Arabidopsis thaliana: one gene and its partner. The protein of the gene in region 2 interacts with the protein of the main gene of each other region in a biochemical or structural test. Each region holds a gene or a part of one and is shown on either strand. Other genes may lie near its edges.

What was found.
Region 1: of the proteins of CNI1 (region 2) and GRF1, one has a biochemical effect on the other in vitro, tested with the Arabidopsis thaliana proteins (one study listed by BioGRID).

What each region holds. Positions count from the first base shown.
Region 1 is NC_003075.7:5,771,249-5,780,358, reverse strand, and holds GRF1 (general regulatory factor 1), read right to left. Parts: upstream 5,150-9,110; 5' UTR 4,973-5,149; coding exon 4,481-4,972; intron 4,404-4,480; coding exon 4,281-4,403; intron 4,190-4,280; coding exon 4,073-4,189; exon of another isoform or gene 3,988-4,072; coding exon 3,921-3,987; exon of another isoform or gene 3,715-3,920; intron 3,570-3,714; exon of another isoform or gene 3,360-3,569; coding exon 3,202-3,359; 3' UTR 2,878-3,201; downstream 1-2,877. Other genes in the region: TL29 (ascorbate peroxidase 4), read left to right, coding at 880-1,116, 1,196-1,297, 1,447-1,534, 1,616-1,716, 1,786-1,826, 1,902-2,032, 2,126-2,232, 2,311-2,448 and 2 more. UniProt on the Arabidopsis thaliana protein: Is associated with a DNA binding complex that binds to the G box, a well-characterized cis-acting DNA regulatory element found in plant genes. Involved in the regulation of nutrient metabolism.
Region 2 is NC_003076.8:9,677,594-9,686,244, forward strand, and holds CNI1 (carbon/nitrogen insensitive 1), read left to right. Parts: upstream 1-6,394; 5' UTR 6,395-6,525; coding exon 6,526-7,632; 3' UTR 7,633-8,149; downstream 8,150-8,651. Other genes in the region: AT5G27410 (D-aminoacid aminotransferase-like PLP-dependent enzymes superfamily protein), read left to right, coding at 7-123, 216-289, 359-646, 1,161-1,296, 1,647-1,745, 1,815-1,886, 1,985-2,077, 2,221-2,358 and 14 more; AT5G27400 (S-adenosyl-L-methionine-dependent methyltransferases superfamily protein), read left to right, coding at 7-123, 216-289, 359-692. UniProt on the Arabidopsis thaliana protein: E3 ubiquitin-protein ligase that is required for the plant C/N response during seedling growth transition. May be involved in the early steps of the plant defense signaling pathway.

The DNA of each region.
Region 1 (9,110 bases), on a different chromosome or scaffold from region 2:
AGTTATTTCGAGATTGAGTTAATAAAATAAAAACTTTGAATTGAATCCAATGAATCTTAGATTTCAATATTTCTCCACTTCTCAATTCCCTGTTTGGTAACTGCTACTGAATGTGTGTACCGTTTCTATTGTAACCAACAGGTAAAACGGTAAATTAAAGCGGGACAATGAATAAAAATCCTCAAAAACCCCAAAAAATACTCATACTAATTTTTATTTGCAAGTTTAATACCCAATATTTTTGGATTGGAATCAAAAATACTTCATCTAATATTTATGGTCATAAAATACCTCATATATTTATTATTGGTAGAATGAAACCCGCACAAAATTCATGTTTTTTTTCTCCCGTTTCTCTAATTCTAGCCGACGTAGATGATACTCCCCGCAAGTAACATGTGCCTTATAATGTGATCGCGTTAGTTCCCAGCTTTGTCTAGCCACCAAGAATCATCGTCTATGCCGCCTGCCGTCATAGCTCTAGGGAGGAGCTGAGAGTGAGAAGGACAAGGGAAAAAATGAGAATCTCTGAAGTTGGATTGGGTGTTTTACTGGGATTAGTGGCATTCGATAAGTTAGTAACACCGAATTGTATATATAGATTAAAAAGTATGAGATTCAAATTTAACCCCGTTAAATAGTTCCGTTAACGTCCGTTAAGCCGTAGGTTAATTCTAACAATAATTAATATATGAGGTATTTTATGACAGTAAATAATTAGATAATTTATTTTTATACCAATTCAAAAATATTGGGTATTAAACTTGCAAATAAAAATTAGTATGAGTTTTTTTTGGGATTTTTAACCACAAAAAAAATCTTTGACCTTTTAAAAAACTCTTATTGAAAAAAAAAAAAGGAGTTATATGATGAAACCAAATGGACCCATATGATTGGGAGATTTGGATAACAGAGAATCCACAAAAGTGTATCCTTCACAAAACCAAAACACACTCTCCATTTTCTTCAGACAACTCTTTCTCCTTTCTTCTCTCTTCTCTGTCTCATCACAAACCAGAAATGGGAGGAGTGTCCTTCCTCTCCACTGTTCCTTCCTTCACCAACACAACCAATCATCAACATCTCACTACACTCTCTTCTTCTTCTCATCGCTCTGTGAGTTTCAACCATTGTTACATTCTTTACTTCTAACCCATTTTACATTTCTTCTGCTAACAATTCTTCTTCTGATCAGGCTGTTATACGATGTTCCAAGATTGAACCTCAAGTTTCCGGTGAAAGTTTAGCTTTCCACCGCCGTGATGTTCTCAAACTCGCCGGCACTGCAGTCGGAATGGTACCTTAACACTTGACTCGATCAAAAATTACATACACATTGGTACAAATGAGATATTGTAATGTATAGTCTGTGGCTACATCTTCTTGAAGTTGTCCTCTCTATGTCACATTTGATGAGTTCTTGGCAGTGATGATCTCTCTTGTTAGGAATTAATAGGCAACGGTTTCATTAACAATGTGGGTGATGCAAAAGCTGCTGACTTGAATCAACGTAGACAACGATCCGAGTTTCAATGTGAGTATCTGAAACAAGAACACTAGTGTGGTACCATTAGGTTGTTATTGGCACTAAAGGTTTCACTTTTATATTATGCAGCAAAGATCAAGATTTTGCTTTCAACCACCATTAAGGCTAAACCGGAGCTTGTACCTTCCTTACTCAAACTAGCTCTCAATGATGCTATGACTTATGATAAGGTCAGGCTTCATATAATGCTCTTGTCCATCTCTCTGGTGACCCTTTAATGATACTAGCTTTTTGTCTAGGCTACTAAATCCGGGGGAGCCAATGGATCCATACGGTTCAGGTAGTTATATGATGTAAGAACATTATAAGAGTAATCTTTAGATGATGTCTAATGCATTCTTTTCTTTTTGTGAAGCTCTGAGCTAAGTAGAGCAGAGAATGAGGGACTTTCTGATGGGTTGAGTTTGATAGAGGAAGTGAAGAAGGAGATTGACTCTATCTCGAAGGGAGGTCCTATTTCATATGCAGATATCATTCAATTAGCAGGTAATGTTATAGTATATACCAAAACTTGTTCATGAAGAGTAGCATTATTGTATTTGTGGATAACTGAAATCTTTCTTGGGTTGGTTTCTGTAGGACAATCAGCGGTCAAGTTTACATATTTAGCATCGGCTATCCGAAAATGTGGTGGAAATGAAGAGAAGGGGAACTTACTTTACACAGCATATGGTTCAGCTGGTCAGGTAAACAATGCTATCGTATTCGCTTTTGAGTCGCGGCGTTTTGTTCAAATCGATACTGAACCGTTGTGAATCTGTTAGTGGGGATTGTTTGATAGAAATTTTGGAAGGAGTGATGCAACAGAGGCTGATCCAGAAGGCAGAGTCCCACAATGGGGGAAAGCAACTGTGCAAGAGATGAAAGATAAGTTCATTGCTGTTGGATTGGGTCCTCGTCAGGTACATGATTTTCGGTTTAAACAGAGAATTATCTACTAGGATCACTCGAAGTAACTAACCTGTATGAGGAATTTGTAGCTAGCTGTAATGTCTGCATTCTTGGGTCCTGATCAAGCTGCAACAGAACAGCTCTTAGCTACTGACCCTCAAGTTGCTCCATGGGTTCAGAAGTATCAAAGAAGCCGTGAAACCGTATCTCAGACTGATTACGAGGTTCGTTTTCACTCGATTTGCCTTAATCATATATTCATCTACCTCAAACTCAAGCTCATGTTTTGGTTTATGAATATGTTTGTAGGTTGATCTCATAACTGCATTCACAAAGCTAAGTTGCTTAGGACAGCAAATCAACTTCGAGGCATATACATATCCCGTCGAACGGATCAATCTGAGCAAACTCAAGCTATAAGCTATGTACACTATATGTATAACATGAGAGGAAACTTCGAAATAAACCAAAGATTTTTCTTGACATTGAAACAAAAAGAGAAGTTGAATCCATTACAAACAAAGACACAGAAGATAGGAGTCAAATCACGATAAAATGGAAACAGATAAACGAAAAATAATAGGAATCGAGTTTTCGTATCCACGGTTGAGAAAAGCAGCAAAAAAGGACAAGAATTAGACTGCCTTAGAGAGCTTGGGGATAAAAGGAAATAAGAAACCAACAGAGAAACACCTCCAAGAGAAAAACATATTAATGGAGAGGTTTTAGATACTGAAATGACAACAAAGTTGCGGTAAGACGACTTAGGATTGTTGCTCGTCAGCGGGTTTTGCTGCTGCTGGTGCTGCTTCTTTGATGTCATCAGCAACATCGTCCTGATTGAAAAAAACATTTGACAAGATCATCATAATCAGAATCAGACCACAAGAAAGAAGGATTGAGGAATGTATCAAAATGTAAACTAAGCAACAACTTGATTTCCAAATCTAGTCTCCCTCAATGGCATATATCTTGCTCATGGTTTCAGAAATCACAAACAGGCTTAAGCAAGGCATAAGGAGGAATGCATCAAAATGTAAACTAAACCACTTGATATTCAATTCGTGTCTTCCTCAATGGCTTAACAAGGCTTATGATTTCATAAATTAAGCAACAAAACAGGATTAAACACATTTGACAATCACTAAAATCAGAATATGACCAAGAGAATGCATCAAAATGTAAACTAAACTGTTTGTTTTCCATATCTAGACTTCCGCAATGGCTTAACAAGGCTCATGGTTTCAGAAATCAAGCAACAAAACAGGCTTAAATACATTTGACAATCACTAAAATCAGAATCAGAGCCAGCAGAATGCATCCAAATGTAAACTAAACTGTTTTATTACAAATCAAGTCTTTCTTAATGGTTTAATTATAGGCTAAAAGTTTCAGAGATCAAGAAACAAAAACGTTATTCGTTCATCAAGCAACAAAAACAAGCTTATAAGGCCAAAATATAATACCTAGCAAGATTACTAACACAGTTGACAATCACCAAAATCAGAATTAGACCAGAAGAATGCATCAAATAAACTTGATATCCAAATCTAACTTTTGTCAATGACTTAATTAGGCTCATTGTTTCACAATTCAAGCAACAAAATCAATCATACAGGAGCCAATATATAATACCTGCATATCAGAAGTCCAGAGAGTGAGGTTATCACGAAGAAGCTGCATAATCAAAGTACTGTCCTTGTATGACTCTTCACCAAGAGTATCCAATTCAGCAATTGCTTCATCAAACGCCTAAATAAATCCATAAACAAAAACTCATCAAACACACACATAAACCAACAATACATAATCATATAAAACATCCCTCAGATGAGATCCAAACCTGCTTAGCGAGATTACAAGCACGATCTGGAGAATTGAGAATCTCATAGTAAAACACAGAGAAGTTCAACGCAAGACCAAGACGAATCGGATGCGTTGGAGCCAATTCAGAATTAGCAATATCCTACACAACAAACCAAAATTTCAAAAACCTAAATCACACAAAAATCAAATCACAGATCGGAGAAAGAGATCAAAAACCTGAGCAGCTTTGTAAGCAGTAAGAGTATGTTCAGCAGCATCTTTCCTCTCTTGACCAGATTTGAACTCAGCCAAGTACCTATGATAATCACCTTTCATCTTCAGATAAAACACCTTCGAATCTCCAGAAGCAGCAGCGGGAACGAGAATCGTATCGAGAAGCTTAAGGATTCCGTCACAGATATCAGAAAGTTCCGTTTCGATTTTGCTTCTGTAGTCACGGATCAACGAAACGTGGTCATCGTTACCGCGAGACTCCTCCTTTTGTTCGATCGATGAAATGATTCTCCACGAAGCACGACGAGCTCCGATGACGTTTTTGTAAGCGACGGAGAGGAGATTACGTTCTTCGACGGTGAGTTCGTCTTTGTCAACAGCTTTCGCGACTTTCTCCATGAATTCAACCATTTCTTCGTAACGCTCTGCTTGTTCGGCGAGTTTCGCCATGTATACGAATTCATCTCTTGCTGAGGAAGCTCCTGGTGTCGCCATTGTTGTTTAGATCGGAGAAGAAGATGATGAACAAAGTGAGGAAGAAGAAGAAGAAATGATTCTCAGATCTGAGAGAGTTTTTTTTTTTTTTTATCGGCTCCGTGGATTTTTGTTTTTGTTTATAATGAATGAGTGGGGAGCGATGATTACGGATTGTGAGAAGAAAGGAGAGCCGTTGGATTGAAAGCTGGCAAAAACACGGATTCGTAACGAAAAAAGGCGCTGGCTTTTCAGATACTTTTTAGGTCAAGTTTGAATTTTCAATGATTGGAAAAGGGTATTTCTGGAAATTACTTATTTAATGGGCTTTTTTCCTGCGAAACGGGTTTATTGAATGGGCTTTAAAGCCTATTTTACGGATTAACTCATTTGCGCGTGGGTGAATTAATTATTGAATGGCCCGAATAGGCCCAATAAATATAACGCTTGTATTTTGGTATACTTACTGATTTCATTTTTAATCGGATATCCGATATGAAATATGAAAAATAGAAAATTTAAAACCCAAAGATGGCAATATTTCATTAAGATTTCTTTAGCTGTTAATCTTTAGTATTTAAATATTTAATTTAATGAACGTAATTTCATAAAATTTACAAACAAATACGTCAATCATCGTAAATCTAGTGAGCCGACATCGTTAATTTACAAATATTATTATAAACATTTAATTATCTCTTTTTAAAAAAAAATTAAGAGGACCAACTGTTATAATAAGATATTATTATAAACATCTAATTATTTTTTTTATTTTTTTTATTTAAGAAGACCAACTGTTCTGTTTTGGATACTCATAATTACTATATTTCTAAGGCTATAAGTCCTCATCACTTTAGTAAAAATAAATTTTGTGGATTGGTTTCATCCCCTCTATTAGGAACATGGACAACATCCATTTGCATGTCAAGAAGGCTTTGCATGTCTATGTAAGTAAGTTTTATATTTATTTGAAGATCTCGGTTTTTTTTTTCTTTTTTGTGAGATCATAATTATAATATTCGTGTATTTACTAAAATTTAATTTCTCTATGAAAAAAACTATTTGCTGAAAATAGTATGCACAAAACGTACACACATATCGTTGTTAAACAAGCAAACATGTAGAGTATCGATTAAACGACATATGTATATACACAATTTTCCTGAAGTTAGGATTTTATCAAGATTTCTTTCAAGTTTGATCTTGCAAGGTAGAGAGAAAGCCTCATAATTTGGAGTCACACTAAAGACAATGATAGGTCTTTGAGTCAGAGATAATGGAGTTTTAGGTTGAATAACTAATGCTCTAACCCCTCATATTGGAGTTTCAGCTAGGAACCAAAACATTCAAAAGGAATCAAACACATGGAGAATACACAAACGGTGTTTAGGATGGATATAATAGAGATTACAACCTTATCGAGATTCGCTTTAGGATGCATAAAATAGTAGGAGGCAAGAAGTCAAGAGACTTTCATGGGCATCGATGTAGAAAAAGTTCTCTGCCACAGAGGAAAAACAATTTTAAGGTCCTAGAATCTACATTTCATTAAGGATATATAGTAGAACCGCGAATGTGGTTAAAATTAACCGTTGGAGTGAAGAATTGGATAGGCTTTTGCTTTTCAAACATGAAATCAACAAAGTCCTTTGTAGTTGGGCATATAAGATAGATTCATCTCAGAACTTCCTGGCTCCATCCCAAACAAGATGTTGTAGGACTTATTCCAACGTGTTCGTTGTTTATCATCTAGAAGCGTAAACATGAGAAAAGAGTAAGCATAGATTATAAACAAAATCACAAAGTTTCTAGATTCCACATAACGCTAGGAACTCATCAATAGAGAAGCAGCAACTAAAAAAAAAGCTCACCTTTTAATTTCCATGTTTCTTTCCAAAAACGATCAGTGAAATTACGTATAGCTTTAATTTTTCCCCAAAGCAAGGATTGAATCTTGCGCTAACAACAAAAATGTTCAAATTTTAATAATTATGGAACAAATAATCAAAATATTCATAATTTAATAGGTCTTGCGCAAAACTATCTATTTTTACCCACAATAATAGCATGTATATGGGTGATACTCATATGGTATCATAAGGAATTTTTAAGTATTATTTATAATGTTTGAGATTTTTTATGATACTCCTACTAAATATGTTTGCACTAGATATTAACCCGCGGTATACCGCGGGTAAGTTTATATTTTAGTTAAACTAAAAATCTTTTTTTGTAAAGATGATTAATAAATTTATGATATTATTTTATTTGATTTTAAATATATAATACACTGCGAGTTGTATATGTTTTGTTGATATTTTTTATATTCTTTAATGTTGATATTCTATGTTTTGTTGTATATGTTGTGTTGTTCTTTTTAGTCGCATATGGGGGGTGGTGGCGACGGAGAGAGCAAAAATGTTTCTTTGGTTAGTCGGGAATCAAGCTCTAATGACGGATGCTGAGCGATTTAGAAGGCATCTGTGTATAACAGATGTTTGCCAAGTCTGTAAGGGGGGAAGTGAGACGATTATTCACATCCTTCGGGATTGTCCCGCAATGGCAGGACTTTGGGATCGTATCATTCCCCAGCGGCGGAGGAGATCCTTCTTTGCACAGTCGTTGATCGAATGGTAGCATGATAACCTAGGTGATGACCGGGAAATATATGAGAGTGTATGGTCTACGGTTTTCACGATGGCTATTTGGTGGGCTTGGAAGTGGCGCTGTGATAACGTGTTTGACAAACGTGGTAAGTGTCGGGATAGAACGAGGTTTATTAAGGATGCGGCTAAGGAAGTAACTACCGCTACTAGTAAACATAAAGGAGGTTCGGGGATAGGCGGTAGGGTGGAAGTAATGGTTGGTTGGGGTGTGCCTAACGATGGGTGGCTGAAGCTCAATACTGGTGGGGCATCACGGGGTAATCCGGGTCTGGCTACAGCGGGAGGAGTGCTAAGAAACAGTGCGGGAGAGTGGTGTGGGGGTTTCGCTCTTAACATTGGTCGTTGTACGGCTCCGGTGGCGGAGTTATGGGGTGTCTATTACGGCATGTACTTCGCTTGGGAGAAGAAGGTGACGAGAGTGGAGTTGGAAGTAGACTCGACATTGGTGGTGGGCTTTCTCAAGACTGGGGTTAGCGAGCGACACCCTTTGTCTTTCTTGGTACGGTTGTGCCACGGCTTTTTTTCGAAGGACTGGATAGTCCGTATTTCTCATGTGTATAGAGAGGCTAACCGCCTTACTGACGGGTTAGCTAACTATGCGTTCTCTTTGCTATTGGGCTTTATGCTTTTGTTTTTGTTCCTCTTGTTGTTGATTCGCTGTTTAGTGATGACGTTATTGAGTCTGCGCGCCCTCGTCGAGTATACTCGTTTTTGTAGTTTGTTTTAATTTTCAATAAAATGGGAGACTAGTCTCCCCTCTTCTACCAAAAAAATGTAGATGGTCTATGGTACATTGAAAGCCGAAGCAGTGCCGAATTAGTATTTACGAGTGCCATACTCAAAGCTTAAAAACATGCTTTTTCATATAACACACGTTCTATTTCCCGGCGTCTCCATCTCCGTCTCTATCTAATTTCGTCATGCGTCGATCTCGTAAGCTACTTCAGATTCCGGCCATCACGCAGCTCCAGGTTAGTTTTGATTTATGTGAAACTACAAATCGGTGCGTTGTGCCTTGAATGGAATTGACTTCTGGGTTTAGATTGAGAATTTCTAGGGTTTAGGAAACGTTATTTAGGTCACTCATACGAATCTGTTGTTTGTAGAAGATACGAGGAAACAAATCCAGTCACATGAAACAGAATTTTAAACTCTGCTCTATTTTCAAATTGATCGACTCGATCTGAAATTGACAGATTACCATATTTGCAACAATGTTTTGTGACTAATTTCAGAAGACTATGTTATTAGAGAGTAGAAAATGGATTCCTCAATCTTTGTTCTGCAACACAGTTTCTCATACTGCAAACAAATGGCATGATAACATGGTAGTAGGTTTTAATTTAACTCTTGCTTTTTCCTTGCAGTTGTGTGATTTGTGGTTAATACAAAGATGACAACAATCGAAAACTCAAAAGTCTTCTCCTTCCAGTTCTGCTACTACCGCGTACTCTTAAGCAGTCTTCGGCATCGTTTAAAAGGTGGGGAAGGAG
Region 2 (8,651 bases):
GAGCAGGTGATACTAACAGACGGAGATCTTTTAACTTTGTCTAACATGAAGCTTAATTTGGAGAGAAATCACTTAAACTATGATGACGAGTTTCTCAAACAACCCGGAGAAGCTCAGAGTACAGTGAGTGTTAAACTCTCTTTTTGCTTTCTGATTCAGAGTATATAGGATACACGTAACCTATTCAAGATTGATTCTTATTTTTTCTTAAACAGCGAGTTAAATGCACTCATCTTCCATGGGAAACTGCATCGGAAAGTGAACTAAGCCAATATCGTCCAGATATTGTGTGAGTAAAAAATCTAGAATTATATAGCAGAAGATGTTGCTTATCTCACTGACCCTTGCGTTTTAACAGTCTAGGCGCAGATGTAATCTATGATCCGTCATGTCTCCCTCATCTACTTCGGGTGCTAGTAGCCCTTTTAAAGAACCCACCCAAAAGAGGAAATGGCTCTCTCGAGACTGAAGACAGAGACACGACACAAGAAGAACACAGTCCCGCGGTGGCTTATATCGCATCTGTGATCCGCAATGTAGACACTTTTAATGTGTGCTTGACACTTGCAGACCAAATGGACCTTTCCATCACAGACGTGACCGCAGAACTTACGCCTCGCTTTGAGCTTTTACCATATATGCATTCGTATGACCGCTCAACCGTTCGGCTCTTCTCCATATCCTCCAGATAATGTAATTCTTTCAGAAGCAATTTAGTTTCTTTACAATTGAAATCAAATATTCCTGGACCGTTATTTCGAAACATATTCCAAGATGGTTGTTGGTTGGTCAGGTCGAAGGTTTGGTGGTTGAAATCGCGGTTATTAGCATTTCATGTGTTTGCGGAAATGTGTATGTTGATCTTAGATTAAGGGTTATATATACAACCGCTAAACGCAATCACTGGTTGTTGCAATTATTTGATTTATGGTTTGACAGAAATTGGAGGATCTCTGGGAGTGCAAATAATTACATTATCACTCACCAACTTCGATGTGGCAGGAGATAAGATAAGATACTTGTGAAGATTAAACTAATCAAAAAACATCAATCAATTTCTTTTGGAAACTTGTAATCTTTCCCAAAAGTGTAAAAAAATAAAAATTTGATCTTTTTTTTTACATAAGTCCAAGATTATCGTCTGGTTCTTGTTTATAAAGAGAAACACGGACTAAGGCAATAATAGTTTTGTTGAAGTTGAGATTGATTTCAAAGGGATCGTCTTTAATGGAGGTGATACACGCATGGTCTGCTCCAAGATCACTCAGCACCACTCTCATGTACTCCTTTGCCCAGGTACTCTTTTTGTTTTCTTACCTTACTCAGAGATTTTTCCTGGAAATGGAACAGATTTGCCCAGGTACTGTTTTATCATAGAAAATTTATTGATGATCTAAATTTTGTTTGAGTGATTGAATCCCACCTTCTGAGCAGTAGAGAAATAGTTCTCTGTGTATTGATACCAGGAAAGAAAGAAAAAAGGATCAAAATTTTTGGTTTTAAATATTCTTCTTGGCTTCAAAACATCTATGTGTCCTCAATGATAAACAGTTCCGAATAAAAGTTTTTTACATTTTTGAGTTATTGTGAAACTATGTATGGTGTGAGTTGTAACTTGCAAGATGCTTTGGTTTAAATTTCTTCAGAGAGATGACATTGAAGTGCTTGATGAGCCATTATACGCTGCGTTCCTCAAGTCTACGGGTGTTGATAGGCCTTACAAAGATGAGCTTCTCTCTAAGATGGTAAGTTAATTCACATTAGTCAATTTAGGCATAGAGGAGAAATAGTATAATCGTCGCGTTTTCTAATAGGAGTGTGATGGAGAAAAGGTGGTGAAGGATATCATTTATGGTCCAGGAAAGAAGAAATATAGGTTTTGTAAGGTTATACTCACTTCTCTTTCTGATATAGAGACTTCAATTTTGTTCTATACCACACTGTGTTTGGGATAAATTTGTGTTTCTGGCCTTTCTCTGCACAGCATATATCGAAACAGCGACTTCTTGGTTTGCCAAGTGAACTAATGAGTGAAGGGAAGCACTTTATATTGATACGCAATCCCCTCAACATATTGGTAAGCTTCTCAAACTCACTTCTGGTGTTATGTTTTCGTGGAGATTCTTCTGGGTTGGTTTTGTCTTGACGTTTATGGGTCTGATCCTTTCTGGTTTGAGATGTTTCCTCTCTTTGCTTTCGTTTCTTTGTCTTTTCTTGCAGCCTTCTTTTGAGAAGATACACCCTTCATCGTTTCACGAATTGGGACTGGGAGAGTTAGTATCGATATACAGTGATCTCTGTCAGATGGGAACACCACCAGCAATCATCGATGCAGATGAGCTCCAGCGAGATCCCGAGGTTTCATTGCTATATTATGAAATTTTCACAAGGAAACCATTTCTTTTATGTAAGAAGATTCTTATGTTCTGTGCCATTCTTCTATTTTCAGGCTACACTACGCAGTCTTTGTGATGACTTAGAGATCCCCTTTCAAGCCTCTATGCTTAAGTAGACCCTCTATGCTCTAGTGATCTCTTCGATTTGACAGTTAATGGCAAAAGCAATGACTGTATCTTTATTGTTTGCGTTCTCTTAAAGATGGGAGGCTGGTCCTATACCAGAAGATGGACTTTGGGCTCCATGGTGGTACGAGACTCTTCATAAATCAACAGGGTTCTCGTCGCCCCAGAAGTACCCTCAGGTACAAGACCTGTTTTCGCTGCAATTTAAGATCCTGAAACTCAGACATCATTCAAACTACAATGTGTTTTGTTTTGCTTTCAGACTTTCCCTTTAATGCATTACGATTTGCTGGAGCAATGTTTACCGCTGTACAACATTCTGAGGTGCCACATGAAGCACAAGTCATCGCTCTTGTCCAGCACCTTACCTCCTCCCAGTCTCCCAGTTCCTGAAAATGCTAAACTTCTTGCTTGGGTTGGTGATGAGATTGTGCCACGAGAGATGGCGAAGGTGCTTGAGCCATACATGGATCTCTGTTTGTTATTTCTTGTTTATGCTTATGTTCTGATGTTATTTGTCTTTATTCTTGCTTAAGGTTTCTGTTTTTGACTCGGTCGTGCAAGGCGGTGACTCTGTATGGGAAGGTCTTCGTATATACAAAGGGAAAGTATTTAAGCTTGAAGAACATCTAGACCGGTAAGAAGCAAGTAAGAGAAAGTACTTCTTCGAATCATTCTTAGTAATATGTTGAAGTGTTGCATATAGGTTGTCTGATTCCGCAAAGGCTCTGGCTTTCAACAATGTCCCAACCCGCGAGGAGGTAAGTATATGATGAAGATAAAAATCATTGTCATTGTTTGGAATATGGGACTTTTCAATGAAGCTATCACAACTGAAAATGCACAGATAAAAGAAGCCATCTTCAGAACTCTCATAACCAATGGGATGTTTGACAATACACATATAAGATTGTCTCTAACTCGAGGCAAAAAGGTATTAATCACACTTTGACCAACTTCAAAGTAAATTATATGCAAGAAGATGCTTCTTTCTGTTTCCATTTCAATCATTTTAAACCTAAACAGCTATCAATTTTGTTTCTTTTAAGGTCACATCTGGAATGAGCCCTGCATTTAACCGTTATGGATGTACTTTGATCGGTAAAGTTTCAGATTTTTCTCTTGCAAGCATACAACTAAACTCTGTGGAATATGGTTTTTTGAGTATTATCGTTTTTCAAAATATTGTGTAGTGCTTGCTGAATGGAAGCCTCCGGTATATGACAATGATGGCGGAATTGTGCTGGTGACTGCAACTACACGCCGGAATTCACCCAACGTATAAAATTGCTCTCATTGTCTTGCATTTATATTTATTTGAGAAACACATTTGCTCAGAAGTGTTTTTGTCCATTGTTGTTTAATCTTCTTCTAAACTTTCTTTCCAGAATTTAGATTCCAAGATTCATCACAACAACCTCCTCAATAATATACTTGCAAAGGTACCATCCTTTGCCTGTCATCGAGTTGAATCCGTGATCATGTGTTATTAGGGACGTCATTGTGAGATGTTTTTATTGGTAATGACACAGATTGAAAGCAACAATGCCAACGTCGATGATGCAATCATGCTTGACAAGGATGGGTTTGTGTCTGAAACCAATGCAACCAACATTGTAAGATCCTCGGATTGAACATTTTTTACTCTCAAAGAACCGTACTGAATCTCTGTGTAGCATTTGGAAACTAACATGGTGGAGGAACTCTGTTGGTGCAGTTCATGGTGAAGAAAGACCGAGTACTCACTCCTCACGCAGATTATTGTCTCCCCGGCATTACTCGAGCTACTGTAAGAGAGAAGAAGATTCATATTCTTTCTGATAACATATTTCAGGACTATAACATGACCAGTCTTATTTTCTAATCCATGTCCAGGTGATGGAACTGGTGGTGAAAGAGAACTTTATCTTAGAAGAACGTAGAATCAGCTTGTCGGAATTCCATACAGCTGATGAGGTTTCCTCATCTTTTCCTTAATCTTAGAATCTCAAATGATCACTAACTAAGTGTTATCAATCCATATCAAAACTTTCTAGGTATGGACTACAGGAACTATGGGAGAACTCAGCCCGGTACATACTCAATCTCTATTTTACAATCAAGGAATATGAAAATCTCAATGTTTTGAGTGAAGATTTCCTTCTTGTGAAACACTTTCTGGTTGGTTTTTGTGCCGCTTATTTATCGAGGTTATTGGTTTTAGGTTGTGAAAATTGATGGGCGTGTGATCGGTGAAGGAAAAGTAGGACCGGTAACAAGAAGACTTCAAAATGCTTACAAGAAACTGACGGATGGTTCAGGTGTCCCAATACCTACTTACCAAGAAGTCAAGAACCTTGAACCATGTGTTTGATCGTAGAACACGAATGGTAAACCAGGCTTGTTAAATGTGTTCATCTAGATTCGTAAACTCTAACAAGAACGTTGAACAAAAGGAACCTTATTTTGGAAAAATGAAATCAACGTTAACATAATTTCATCATTGGTTTTTTATTTTTGAAGTACTGAAAAGGTTTTGTGATTGCAGGAAAAAAACATTGCATACGAGGAAAACGGCACGTATTTCAGAGGAAAGCTGTGGTGTTTTACGTTTTTGAATAGAAAGTGCGTGCTGTTTTAGCTCTCAAACTCTCTCATATTATGCTGTTGACCTGTTGTAGCCTGTGGGTCAATGTAATCACAGTTGGTCGCAAATCCAAGTCAAGTCAGGCTCTCTTGTTTGACTTTTCAATTTTTTTTTCCACAATAACGATAATGCTGATCAATAAACAAAACCATAATATCATCAATTTTTGCTTTGAGTTCTAGTATATATAAAAAACTATAAAGTCCTTAGTTTGGGTTGAGAAGCATAAATTTAAACCTCCCACAATGAATTTTTTAAATATGCATTAAAGGAGTTTGAATCCTGATAACATAACAACAGTGTAAATACCAAATACTAGACTACTATATGCTTTGATCTAAAAACATAAGAAAATAACATTATTAGTAAGTAAAGACACTTGGTTTAAGTAGTAAACTCCCTAATGGATCTAGTTTTTCACTTTCCATGTCATTTTCAAATATTATATCGACTAAAATAGGTGATAACAAAAAAGTAACTTATAGAGAGAAAAAAAAATTAGTTCATGTTGGAGACATAACTTTTGCTAATTTAAATCAAAGATCAAATGAATTTGGTTTGCTTTTGGGACTATAGTGACCACACATATAATAAATAGTGTGATTCCACGAGATTTGTTATTGGTTAAAAGGTAAAATTGAAAAATTGCAGATCATTTTGTCTTTGTGCAGATTGCCAATTTTTATTCCCAACGGATTGGATTTGCCAATTCAAAGTCAACAGAAATTGTAATTAAAAAAAAAAAGAAGCATATTTGAGTTAGTGATCAGGATAGACCTATGATGGCTAAAGACTTTCTAGAAGAATATGAATATCAAAGTAGTCGTCTATAAATGATGACGGCTAAGACTAGTAAACATAAATTTGTTAATTTTTTCAAGTAATTTTTTCTTCGTGTGATCACATATCATTAACATGTTCCAAATTCATGGTCCTCTTATCTTGAATAAGATTTTAGTATGTATTGTAAACTAGCTCAAAACATTAACATTTCTGTAATAAACGAATGAATGAAACTTGCCGGTGAAATAGTAAATTATAAAAAAGAGATATGAAAATGACCATTTTAGATGAAATAAAAGATACTTTTCATACATACATATACAGAGTTTAGGACCATTTCAACAACTTCTTCGAAGTCATCGAACTATTTTGATTTGTATGACTTTTCACTTCCATCTCCAATTGGAAACTTCTGACCGTCCACGTGGCATTCAATAAGTAACACATTTGCTTATGACATATCCCCTAACTTCCTCGCTTCTTCTCCACGACTTTTTCAAACTTTTCAAAACCTCCCTATAAACTTCAGATCCTTATTCCTCACAATATTAAACCAAAAAAAAAAACTAACTTTTTGGGACTCCAGAACTAATAATGGATCCCATAAAACACATCTCTTTACCAGTTCTTGTCTTGTTTCTACTATTATCCGTGTCGGCGGGTCAACCCGGAACCCCGGACCAGAGACATGACCCGTATGCTTACAGCGGCAGTCTAAGTCCAGCCATGGCTGTTGTCGTTGTAGTTGTCATCGCAGCTCTCTTCTTCATGGGCTTCTTCACCGTCTATATACGTCACTGTACTGGCGCAGTAGACGGTAGCGTTACTCCTGCAGGAGGAGCTAGGAGGAGAGTGACGAACGCAACGGTTGCGCGTGGGTTAGACGCGGAGACGATCGAGACGTTTCCGACTTTTGTTTACTCAGAAGTGAAGACACAGAAGATTGGTAAAGGAGCGTTGGAGTGTGCGATTTGTTTGAATGAGTTTGAAGACGATGAAACGCTGCGTCTGTTGCCTAAATGTGATCACGTGTTTCATCCTCATTGTATCGGCGCGTGGCTTCAAGGTCACGTGACTTGTCCGGTTTGTCGGACTAATCTTGCTGAACAGACGCCTGAACCGGAAGTGGTGGTGGAAACCGATCTTGAGGCGCAGCAGCAATCGGCGGTTCCTGTACCGGTGGTGGAACTTCCACGTGTTAAATTCCCGAGGTCGCATACGACAGGGCATTCGGTGGTTTTACCGGGAGAGAGTACCGACCGGTTTACGCTTAGAGTACCGGAAGAATTAAGGAAGAAGATAATGGCGAATTGGAAATTGAACCGGTCGAATAGTGTTTTTGTTTTACCGAGAGGAGGAAGCTCGAGGAGTGGTAAACAGGTTGACCGGTCGAGGGCTAAATCGGACCGGTGGTTGTTCCGTAAAACTCCGTCGTTTCTATGGAGGAACCGGGATGATGGTTCGATTAGGCTAGGTGGTACCGGTAGTGTTAGAGGAAATTCAGTAACAAGTCCGAGCGGTGACTCGGTACGAGCAGACCGGTGGGCTTTTCTTAGAAACCCATCGTTTCTCTGGAGGAATACGACGCCGGTTCCTTCGCCGAGAGTTGAAGTCAATAATAAGGACGGTGAAGGAACATCGTCAGTTCAACATATCGGTACAGTTGGTTCAACTAGCGGTTCCCTTAGGCTACCGGTTTAGTGTTCGGTGATGTTTTGTGCATTGTTCATAAACACGCAATAGATTTTACGTAATTCTTTAATTTTGTTTGTCTTTTTCTGTAAGATATTTAAATCGACAATCCAACGGAAAAAGGAGATTGTTTTACTTAATTTATTTTATACTCTTCAAAAGTCAAACAAAGAACGAACTGGAGATTGGTCTTGTTCTTAAAAAAAAAAAAAGTCTTGTTCGTCGACCAAAGAATACATGGAACTGGAAGATAGAGACTACAACATTATTTTATAGCGGTAATGGAATGTATTATCTAGTTCTGAATTCATGTGTTTATTTCTCGATGAATACGATGAACGACTAAAAAAAGAGAGGAACTATATAACAAACAAATTTGTTACCAATTAATGATTGTTTTTTTTTTGGGGAAATACAACGTTTTTTTTTTCTCAAGTAGTATTGTTGTCGGACCAAAACAAAAATTTGTACTAATATATGAATCAAGTAGATAAGAACAATGTATCAAATTAAAATTTCAGATAACAGTTTCCACAGTTAATCATTTGAGCGTCAAAAAAAGTAATATCATTTGAACATTGAAGCACGAGGTACTTTACTTTCAGAGCTGAGACTAAAGATAGTTCGAGAAGATCTTATTTTAATACTTGGAAGTTGGAAATACGGAAATGAAATCATATACATTAAAATATAAAACATAGTTACTTCATCAGATAGACCACGACTAAGTCGTTTCGATACGGATTGGAAGATTACTTGTTCAACAATTTGAATAGTTACGTAGAAAGTTGCCATCATTCAAATTTTATTCTAGAAACATAAAAATGTAAAAATTACCAAACACACAATATAGCCGTTGTTGTCTACAATATGATGATGGTACCATTGTTTATTTGTTTTTATATAACTGCATACGAGATGTTGGAAAATGTTTACATATATTTTAGTTAGTTAGTTTAAATAATAATAAAATAATTTGTACTTTTTATTTAATTTACTCTATTTTTTAATAATTTTATGTTTTTTGT